Linked DNA regions of Danio rerio. The protein of the gene in region 1 binds, or shares a complex with, the protein of each later gene. Links are inferred from orthologs where the notes say so. Each region holds a gene or a part of one and is shown in the gene's direction. Other genes may lie near its edges.

Region 1 (4,618 bases):
GTTGGCAGTTCATTTCACTGTAGCGAACCCAAGTAAATAAAGAGACTAAGCCAAAAGAACATGAATGAATGACTGTTAGTTGTTGCATAATGTAAATAATGTAAATAATTAAAATATATTAAATGTGAATTTAGGGCGACGCAGTGGTGCAGAAGGTAGTGCTGTCGCCTCACAGCAAGAAGGTCGCTGGTTGGAGCCTCGGCTGGGTCAGTTGGCACTTCTGTGTGGAGTTTGCATGTTGTCCCTACGTTCATGTGGGTTTCCTCCAGGTGCTCCGGTTACCCCCACAGTTCAAAGACATGTGGTACAGGTGAATTGGGTACGCTAAATTGGCTGTATTATGGGTGTGAATGAGTGTGTATAGATGTTTTCCAGAGATGGGTTGCAGCTGGAAGGGCATGCGCTGCGTAAAAACATATGTTGAGAAAAAATTGGTGGTTCATTCCACTGTGGCGACCCCAGATTTATAAAGGGACTAAGCCGAAAAGAAAATGAATGAATAAATAAATGTAACTTTAAGCAAGCGTTGACCCTTTTCCTGCACTGTATAAGGTCTTATTTTTTTATTATTTTACAATACTGAACCTTAAATGTCATATAGGCAACAATTTAAATGGATCCTAATAGCAAGAGTAAACATCAGCCATACTGCTCTAAGGAGAAATAACCCACCACATTCAAACCTAAAATGGATACTCGCATAATGAACAAATTATTTAGCAGCCTTTTATGCTTAACTTGAACAAGAAAACCTGATTTGTAATAAAATATGATACTTTGATAGTGTACATTTAGAATACATTTATTAAATGCATGCTTATTTGTATATGGCTCTTAACAATAAATATCATTTAAGCAGCTTTACAAAGTGTGCTCATTATTACTTCATTATTTAGGCTCTGTGAGCTCAAAATATCAAAAATACATAATGATATTTAAATAATGATAATAATATCTCTATAATATAAATAGTAACACAGCTCAATATTTCATTCTAAATGGGAGAAAAAGTCCAAGCGTTCAGCTGTTGCCATGGTTACCTCTGACAAACCATTTTTCTGTGTATCTCCTAGTCAAAACATGCGCTTCCATTAAGTTTTGTCTATATACTTTCGATGTTTCTGAACATTTAAACCCCAGTTAAAATACTACACTGAGAACATACTTTCAGGACCACCAATCTTTAGTTTTGACCTCCTTTCGTGGAGTTAAAGCCTAATTAGTGAAGTCAGACTTCCCTTTTTGCATTCGGTAAATATAAAATCAAGCCATAAATTCAGCTGGAGAGATGAGGATGAGCGATTGTAAATTCATACATCTCTTCGACGATGAGAAAGTGACGAGCTGGAACCACCGGACTGCCGAAAAGCCTCTAGTCATGTGCATATATACGTGACGTCATTTTGTTGAATAAAATGCGACGCTCGATACAATTTCACGAGGGTAATGCAAGAACTGCGGGGATAGATTTATCATAGAGTCTCGTAAACAAAAGAGACTACTATACTTGTGGCAGCAGCGGCGGGAGCAACATTAGACTGCCTCGGTTGATCGGTTGGGACTCGTTGAGTGTTTTGAAGCGGACAGGTATCGATATCTGTGAGCGTGATTGATAAACAGCGCGCGCGTGCAGAACTTGGGCGAATATCACCCGAACGGCACTTGCCATGATGGAAAACACCGGCAACATTTCGGACCTTCTGTACGCGCTTTCCAACCCAATGGTGTCGAATAGCAGCATATTCTGCCGAAACTTCAGCAACAGCTCCGGTCTCGTGAACATGAACAGCTCCGTATGTGACAGGACGCCAGAGCTGGACAAAAGCTCAACTCCAGTGATTGTGGCCATCATCATCACTGCCTTATACTCTATAGTGTGTGTGATGGGACTGGTGGGAAACGTCCTCGTCATGTATGTTATTATAAGGTAAGAGAAGACATGTAGGGGAATGTATTACGATGCATAAGATATTAGAGTTGTTTTGCTTCCTTTAAATAGACATTTTAGGTGATAGTTTTTCTTTATGCAATATGATAGTTGTTGCTTTTTAAAAGGGACCTGTTGAAAGAGGTGCTGATTGTTTTCTGGTAATAGAAGTCGGCATTGCAGAAACTCCCTTTTTTGCAGTCATTCAATCACTAAAGACGGCCTGTTAATAATAGAATAAAATAATGTTTTACTGTTGTAGTTTATTTATGCTTATGCTTGCTTTTCATTTATAAAATAATATTAACGATTTACAGCTCAGAAATGTGTCTCTTCTCCACTGAGTGTGTGTACGCGTTTCCGATGTTCCTGTCAGCGTATTGGAGAAAAACATTGCATTGTTTCGTTCACATTGATTTCACACTTCATCTGATGCGGTGTAACACCGCATATTTTGCTAATCAGAAGTGCCGCTAAATAGAGATGCACTTATTTTTTGAAGAAAAAGAACGACAGTTCAATGAACAACTGGGCGGGTGCTTTGCATGAATAATCGATACTGAAATGCAGCACAAAGTGAATGGCTCATAATCAGAGATGGGCACAAAAATGAATTGGAATAGCCTACTTAAAAAAAAAAAAAAAAAAAAAAAAGACTAGAGATGGCCTATACAGACAGAGGGGCAGACAGATCGAGATAGATAGATACTGTAAGCAAATTAGATGAAGTTATCTGCGATGTAAAAAGATGCATTGTTTTAGAAAAGTTGTGGTTGCCTGGATGCTTTTGTAAAAACAAAATAGATGTAAAACCATTGATTACCTGGAGGCCTACATGTACAAGAGTGGGGTGAAAACCCAATACACACAAACACATTGTAAACCCAACAACAAACACTGCAACTAAAATATGTTTTGCACAATTAATACCACTACACCATGATAACTTAAGTGCTAAAATAAAAGTCATGAAGGATTAAAGTTCCCAAACTGAAAAACATATTATGTATGTATAGAAGCGACACAAATAAACTTTGCAATAACAATCTCTATGTAATAAACATGTAACAAACCCAAATGTACATAATCATAAATAACTTATCCACTTAAAATTATTTATTATTTCAATTTATTATATGATCCAAGTAACAATTATTTAAATTAAATATGATGTCATGCAGTAAATATTGGGAATGTGAGTTAATTTTTCCCCTTATGGAAATGGTGTGGCGAGGCATTGGCGCAGAAGTGCTGTCGCCTCACAGCAAGAAGGTCGCTGGTTTGAACCTCGGCTCAGTTGGCATTTCTCTGTGTAGTTTGCATGCTCTCCCTGCCTTCGCGTGGGTTTCCTCCGGATTTTAGCCTTTTTTTTTACACTGTGTTTGTACGAAGCCTATGGTGTTTCCCCAACAAGTACATTTCACAGTTGTCAACTGAAATTATTCAGATTTCTTTCTGTGGCTTGCCTCTTTAAACCAGACACATGCATGACAAACACATCTGACCTGATCCTGTGAACCTACAATCACAGTAACATGTGTCAGGCAAGGATGCAATCAATACACTAATTAAACAGAGGTGACTGGATTTCAATGAGGATGTGGGGGCTTATTTGTCTTAAATAGGCAGCAGTTTAGTTCAGATCAATCGCAAATTAAGTCAGAAATGCTGAGTCTAAGAGGTTGAATGAATCTTTAATATCCATTTCTTAAACAATACTATTTGCTCATCAGATTTGAAAGGCTTCAAGACATACTGGGATCAATAAGTTTGTATTTAATTGTCAAAGCATTGTCCTCTGCAAAAGGCTGCATGATTTTCTTTGCCTTCTGAAGACTCAGCGTTTTCCAAACATTTATGAGCAACCAATCACAGTTTTAGAGGCAGCTGCCTAAAGTAGGAATCATAGACAGCTATTGCCCAGTACTGCAATCTACATGTGTGATAAATGAGCCAATGCAGATTAGCTTATCGACCTCCATCATGTGGTAATAAAATGAGCCTTGAGAGAAATAAAAAATGGTGAGAAATGACATAAGTTGATTTAAAACTACATTAACATGTTTCCTCTCATGCATTTCTGTACTTGAAACAGAAATGATTAGTTCACCTCCCAAGTCTTTGAGTGGTTTACTCCTCTGTTACATGACGTGACAGCCATTTTGAAATTAGGCAATAATTCAATGTTCTTTAGTTTTTTATTTTATTTATTTATTTTTTTCACACACACAAATGGATCATTGATGAGATTTACCCACATATTTAAATCCAGGAACCTTAAAGTGAGCATATGGTCAAAAGGGAATAATTCAGATATTTTTTGCATGTTCATTGAAAGTCAGTGGATCATTTAGCGTTTAACAAAAAAAAAGTCATGCAGGAGTTGAAATAACATGAGGGACATAGAGGGCAACAGACCTGATTTTTCTTTTTATAGCTTTATAAATCCTGACTGAAGATTTGCTTATGGAATGAAAATTGTTGCAATGAATCAAAACAGTCATATTTTCATGATGCGTTACTCGTTACTTCTTAGTCCATTAAAAAGTGATACTATATTAGTTTACTTGTTATGCCAACGATATTAAGAACAATACTTCTTTTATTACTTTTACATTACTGCAGGTCATTCACATATGTTTGTCATATTGATAATGCACTCATAAAAATGCAATTGCGACAGCATATAAT
Region 2 (4,537 bases), on another chromosome or scaffold:
CTCCAGTCACTACTTCTTTTTTTTTTCTTTTCTTGTCTTTGGGGATTAGAAAAATCAGTCCTGTGATTCCTGTCCAATCAAATCGCACATAGAAAGTAAATCGCACCATACTGAACAACCTCAAGACATGGGCAAATTATAAATGCAGCAAACTGTTTGGAAGCGTTAAAAGCATCCAAGAATATGTCCAAAATCTTTACACTCAATGACCCAGAGACTGTTTAGATGCATGTCATTGATAAGAAGATGGCGGATCTTTACTGTAGCATGTAATAATTTGCCGATGTACAATGTGATCCTGGATTAACATCTATTATGTTGTTCCTGGAACATAATTTTTGTTGGAAAATGTAATCCACCTAATCCCTACTCCTAAACCTAACCATGACTATTCAGAGGGGAATAATACTTGGATCACAATGTAGAAGTGCATAAACCTAAGTAAGCCTAAACGTAACATAAACGATAAATGTATCCCTTAATTTTGGGCTAAATGGAATGATGTTCCAGGATCAACAAATATGCTAATCTAGGAACATGTACTTGGTAAAATCAGGTTGGCGATTTAACTGTATGGTGGCTGAAATGTCCCTAAACAATAACTAAATGCACTACAGAATGTTTCGTTTACACACACATCCACAAACTACATGTAAATGCATTAGTTTTTTTACAGCGTAATACTCACTACTCATGAATACTTTTGAAAGGGTTGCATTTTACTCATACTTAGAGTAATATTTACAACTGATACTTTTACTCTACCTGCACTACATTTTTGGGCAAGTAATGGTACTTTTTACTTGAGTATGATTTTTCAGTACTCTTACCACCACTGACCCTGGACCAGTCTTGGGTATATTATTGGCAATAACAAACAAATTGTATGGGTCAAAATTGCTGATTTTTCTCTTTTGCCAATTTTTTTTTTAGAATATTAGGTAAAGATTTAGTACATTTTGCTACTGTAAATATATTAAAACAATGTTTGATTAGTAATATGCATTGCTAAGAACTTAAGACAAATTTAAAGACGATTTTCTCAGATTCTCTCAAATTTCTATTTTTAAATAGTTGCATCTTCAACAAATATTATCCTATCATAACAAACCATACATCAATTTAAAGCTTTTTTATTCTGCTTTAAGACCTCAATTTTTGAGACTTATGGTTTTGTGTCCCCCGTTTAATATATTTGTAAAAATTAAAGTAGATATACCAAAATTTTATATTTTCTCCTTAACCTGAGCTCCTATCAAACCATGTTAACATGATCTTTTGTTCTGTAAACGCATCCAGATGGCTTCCGTCTTCAAATCCTTCACCTTCCAACCAATTTCAATACAGGCTTAGCACCTGTGTGCCCTTACACAGCACAAAACATGCTCTGTAATTGATTTGAAGTGAGTTTAAATCCTTAATCACCAAACTCCTGTAAACTGACACATCTGCCCTTAAACATAATGAGAAAAACCATCATCATTTAGTTAGCCAGACTGAATAAGAATCCCGTACTAATCCTGCACTCATTCACATCTGACTCTTCGCTGTTGACTGACAACAGTTGATTCATTACTCATCCCTGCCATAGATGATGCCGGTGGGTTTCCTACCTGCACAACCCATTAAAAGTCACAGAGTTTGGTGACCTTGAGGAATTGACGCACAGATAGCTTATAAAAGACGATTGGGGGGTCTCAGACATCAGAGACGAGCAAACGCAAAGACAACCAGACACATCCGAGACTCTCAGAGAGAACAACTTTGGTTACTGACTTCTTTCTGTGCAAAAGGTGGGTGAAAAATATCCCATACACTAAAATAATCTGGATTGTTTTCTTCAAAAAATTGGACAAACTGAACAGTTGGGATTGGACAAACTGAACAGTTGGGATTTGTAACTGAACTATTGGGTTATTTGATTCAAATGTTGAGTTAAAACTAACAGATTTTTTATTGATTTGTCTTTTTTGCATATCAGATAATTCATTTAATTGATGTATTTTATTACTTTGAAGTATTATTTCATACTTTCCAACTGTTCTTTCAACTGTAGTGTGCAAACAAATGTGTTTTGAGAGTCTACAATATGAATTTAACATGCTTAAATGTGAATTGTATTGTGTTCTCAGAGATGGTGAGGGGAGTGAGGATGTTGTGTCCTGCTTGGCTCTTGGCTCTGGCTGTTCTCTGCGCAGGAGGATCTGAAGTCAGAGCTCAGTGTTGGGAAAATGCCCGCTGTCGAGACCTCAGCACAGAGGAGAACATCTTGGTGAGTTGCTGGATTCGTCACGGCTTAGATTAATTGCTGATCCTTTACTATTATTATTTTAGATGTTCTGTGCTCTGTAAGTTACATTGTAAGTAACTCCCATTAGAAAATTAGACGTGTACAGTAAGTGCAGAGTTATAATCAGTAAAAATGTCTGTTGGGCAACTATCATTAAAATAATAATTGCTTAATATTTTGTTGATTAAATGGTTGAACAGACTTGTTTTGGGGCTGAACTTTTGGCTTTTTTTTTGTTTGTTTTCTTTTCTTTTTTTTTTTTAGTTGATCATTTGTGACCATAGACTTTAAAACCAGTCATTAACATAGGTATATAATATTTGGCTCAGAAACAACTATTTGAAAATCTGGAATCTTGTGGATTAAAATACAGAAAAAAAAAATATTAAAATTGAGTTTTGATATATTTTAAGTACACTCTCAGAAATAAAGGTACAGGAGCTGTCACTGGGGCAGTACCTTTTCTGAAGATACATATTTGTACCCAAAGAGTCCACAGTGGTACCTCAAAGGTGCATTTTAGTTCCCCAAATGTACCTATAAAGTACCTTCGAGGTACCATTATGGACCCTTCAGGTACAAATATGTATCTTTAGAAAATGTGCTGCCCCGGTGCCAGCTCCTGTACTTTTATTTCTGAGAGTGTAGGAAATTGATAAAATAACTTAATGAAACGGTATATCTACAATTTTGACCATAGACATATTTTGCCATTGCCAAACTATACTTACATTAGATTTGGTTTTGTGGCCCAGTTTCACATTTTATAAATAATTTGACTTCTTTTTTTTCTTCCAGGTACAGCATTTACTCTTCAAAAGTCTTGTCATTATTAAATTGATATAATCAATATTATAGCAGAATATTATATGGCTGGTATACATTTTTGATTTGATAACCTTGGATAAAAATTATCATGGTATCATGGCTGGATATAAATATAAGTTTCACTGTATTACAGTATTGTATTTACTGCTATAAAATTTGTTCTTTTCAAACATTTTCTTTAGAAATAACAACTTTTTTCCCATTTAACACAATACATTTTAGGAACCATTTATACTATTTTGGAACAGTAAACATGTCAGGCTACTACAATAAACCATTGACTATATACTATCTTCATTGGCTTCAAAAACACAGATTTCCTTACAACACATAAAAACACCTAAAAATAACCTTTACATTAACAAAAAGTTTAACAAAACATTTTTGCGATTTTAATACCTTGACTCTTCCAAACCACAGTAAACCTTTAAGCCGGTTATTGTCTTATTCCTACTCTACACCAGTAATGTTTCTTTATTCTGAACAATATAAAATAGCCTATGACATTTTTAAGAATGTTCACAAAAATTTAAATAAAATTCTTTTTTGACATTTGTTTTTGAAAGCCACAATTGTGCAGGATTTTCTTTCCAATCACAATTATAAAACCTCACATAATGCCAACATATTAAACCACGTGTTTTGTTTTTTAACTGTATTATTTTCTCCTCTTAAGGAATGCATACAATTATGCAGGTCTGAACTTACAGATGAAACCCCCGTCTACCCTGGAGAAAGCCATCTACAGCCTCCCTCCGAGCCGGAGCAAATCGACCTCCTCGCACACCTTTCCCCTGTAGCACTCGCAGCCCCTGAACAGATAGAGCCGGAGTCCGGCCCTCGACACGACCACAAGCGCTCCTACTCCATGGAGCACTTCCGGTGGGGCAAACCGGTCGGCCGCAAACGCAGACCCATCAAGGTGTACACGAACGGCGTGGAAGAGGAATCCGCCGAAACGCTTCCGGCAGAGATGAGACGCGAGCTGGCAAATAACGAGGTCGACTATCCGCAAGAAGAGATGCCTTTAAACCCACTGGGGAAGAAGGACCCCCCCTACAAAATGACCCATTTCCGCTGGAGCGTCCCGCCGGCTAGCAAGCGCTATGGAGGCTTCATGAAGTCCTGGGACGAGCGTGCTCAGAAACCACTGCTCACACTCTTCAAAAACGTAATGCATAAAGACCAACCGAGGAAGGATGAGTGAGTGGCTTTAAGGGGGAGAGGTTGTTATAGGGGGATGTTTTGAATATACTTTCTTCCCAGCAAACTTCTGGATGAGAGGTTCTTATCATGCATAGAAACGAAGGTGGGCAATGTTAACAATAGCACTTAAATCTTGATGAGTTTATTCACACTGTATTCAACAATAAATTCTGAATTCTGTATATAGAAATGCTGTGGTGATTAAATACCAGC

Evidence for each region.
Region 2: the proteins of oprm1 (region 1) and pomca are in contact, whole or in part, in a cryo-EM structure (PDB 8F7Q), measured with the Homo sapiens proteins. The link is inferred for Danio rerio from reciprocal best matches to the Homo sapiens genes OPRM1 and POMC. Residues at the interface, in NP_000905.3 of Homo sapiens: Ser66, Met67, Ala70, Ile71, Met74, Gln126, Asn129, Tyr130, Leu131, Met132, Gly133, Trp135, Val145, Ile146, Asp149, Tyr150, Met153, Arg213, Ile217, Asp218, Cys219, Thr220, Glu231, Lys235, Val238, Ile298, Val302, Lys305, Trp320, Ile324; in NP_000930.1 of Homo sapiens: Tyr237, Gly238, Gly239, Phe240, Met241, Thr242, Ser243, Glu244, Lys245, Thr248, Pro249, Leu250, Val251, Leu253.

Annotation. Positions count from the first base shown.
Region 1 is NC_133188.1:27,027,421-27,032,038, forward strand, and holds the start of oprm1 (mu-type opioid receptor), read left to right. Parts: upstream 1-1,553; 5' UTR 1,554-1,667; coding exon 1,668-1,927; intron 1,928-4,618. UniProt on the Homo sapiens protein: Receptor for endogenous opioids such as beta-endorphin and endomorphin. Receptor for natural and synthetic opioids including morphine, heroin, DAMGO, fentanyl, etorphine, buprenorphin and methadone.
Region 2 is NC_133192.1:34,931,066-34,935,602, forward strand, and holds the start of pomca (proopiomelanocortin a precursor), read left to right. Parts: upstream 1-1,556; 5' UTR 1,557-1,793; intron 1,794-2,132; 5' UTR 2,133-2,134; coding exon 2,135-2,272; intron 2,273-3,794; coding exon 3,795-4,325; 3' UTR 4,326-4,537.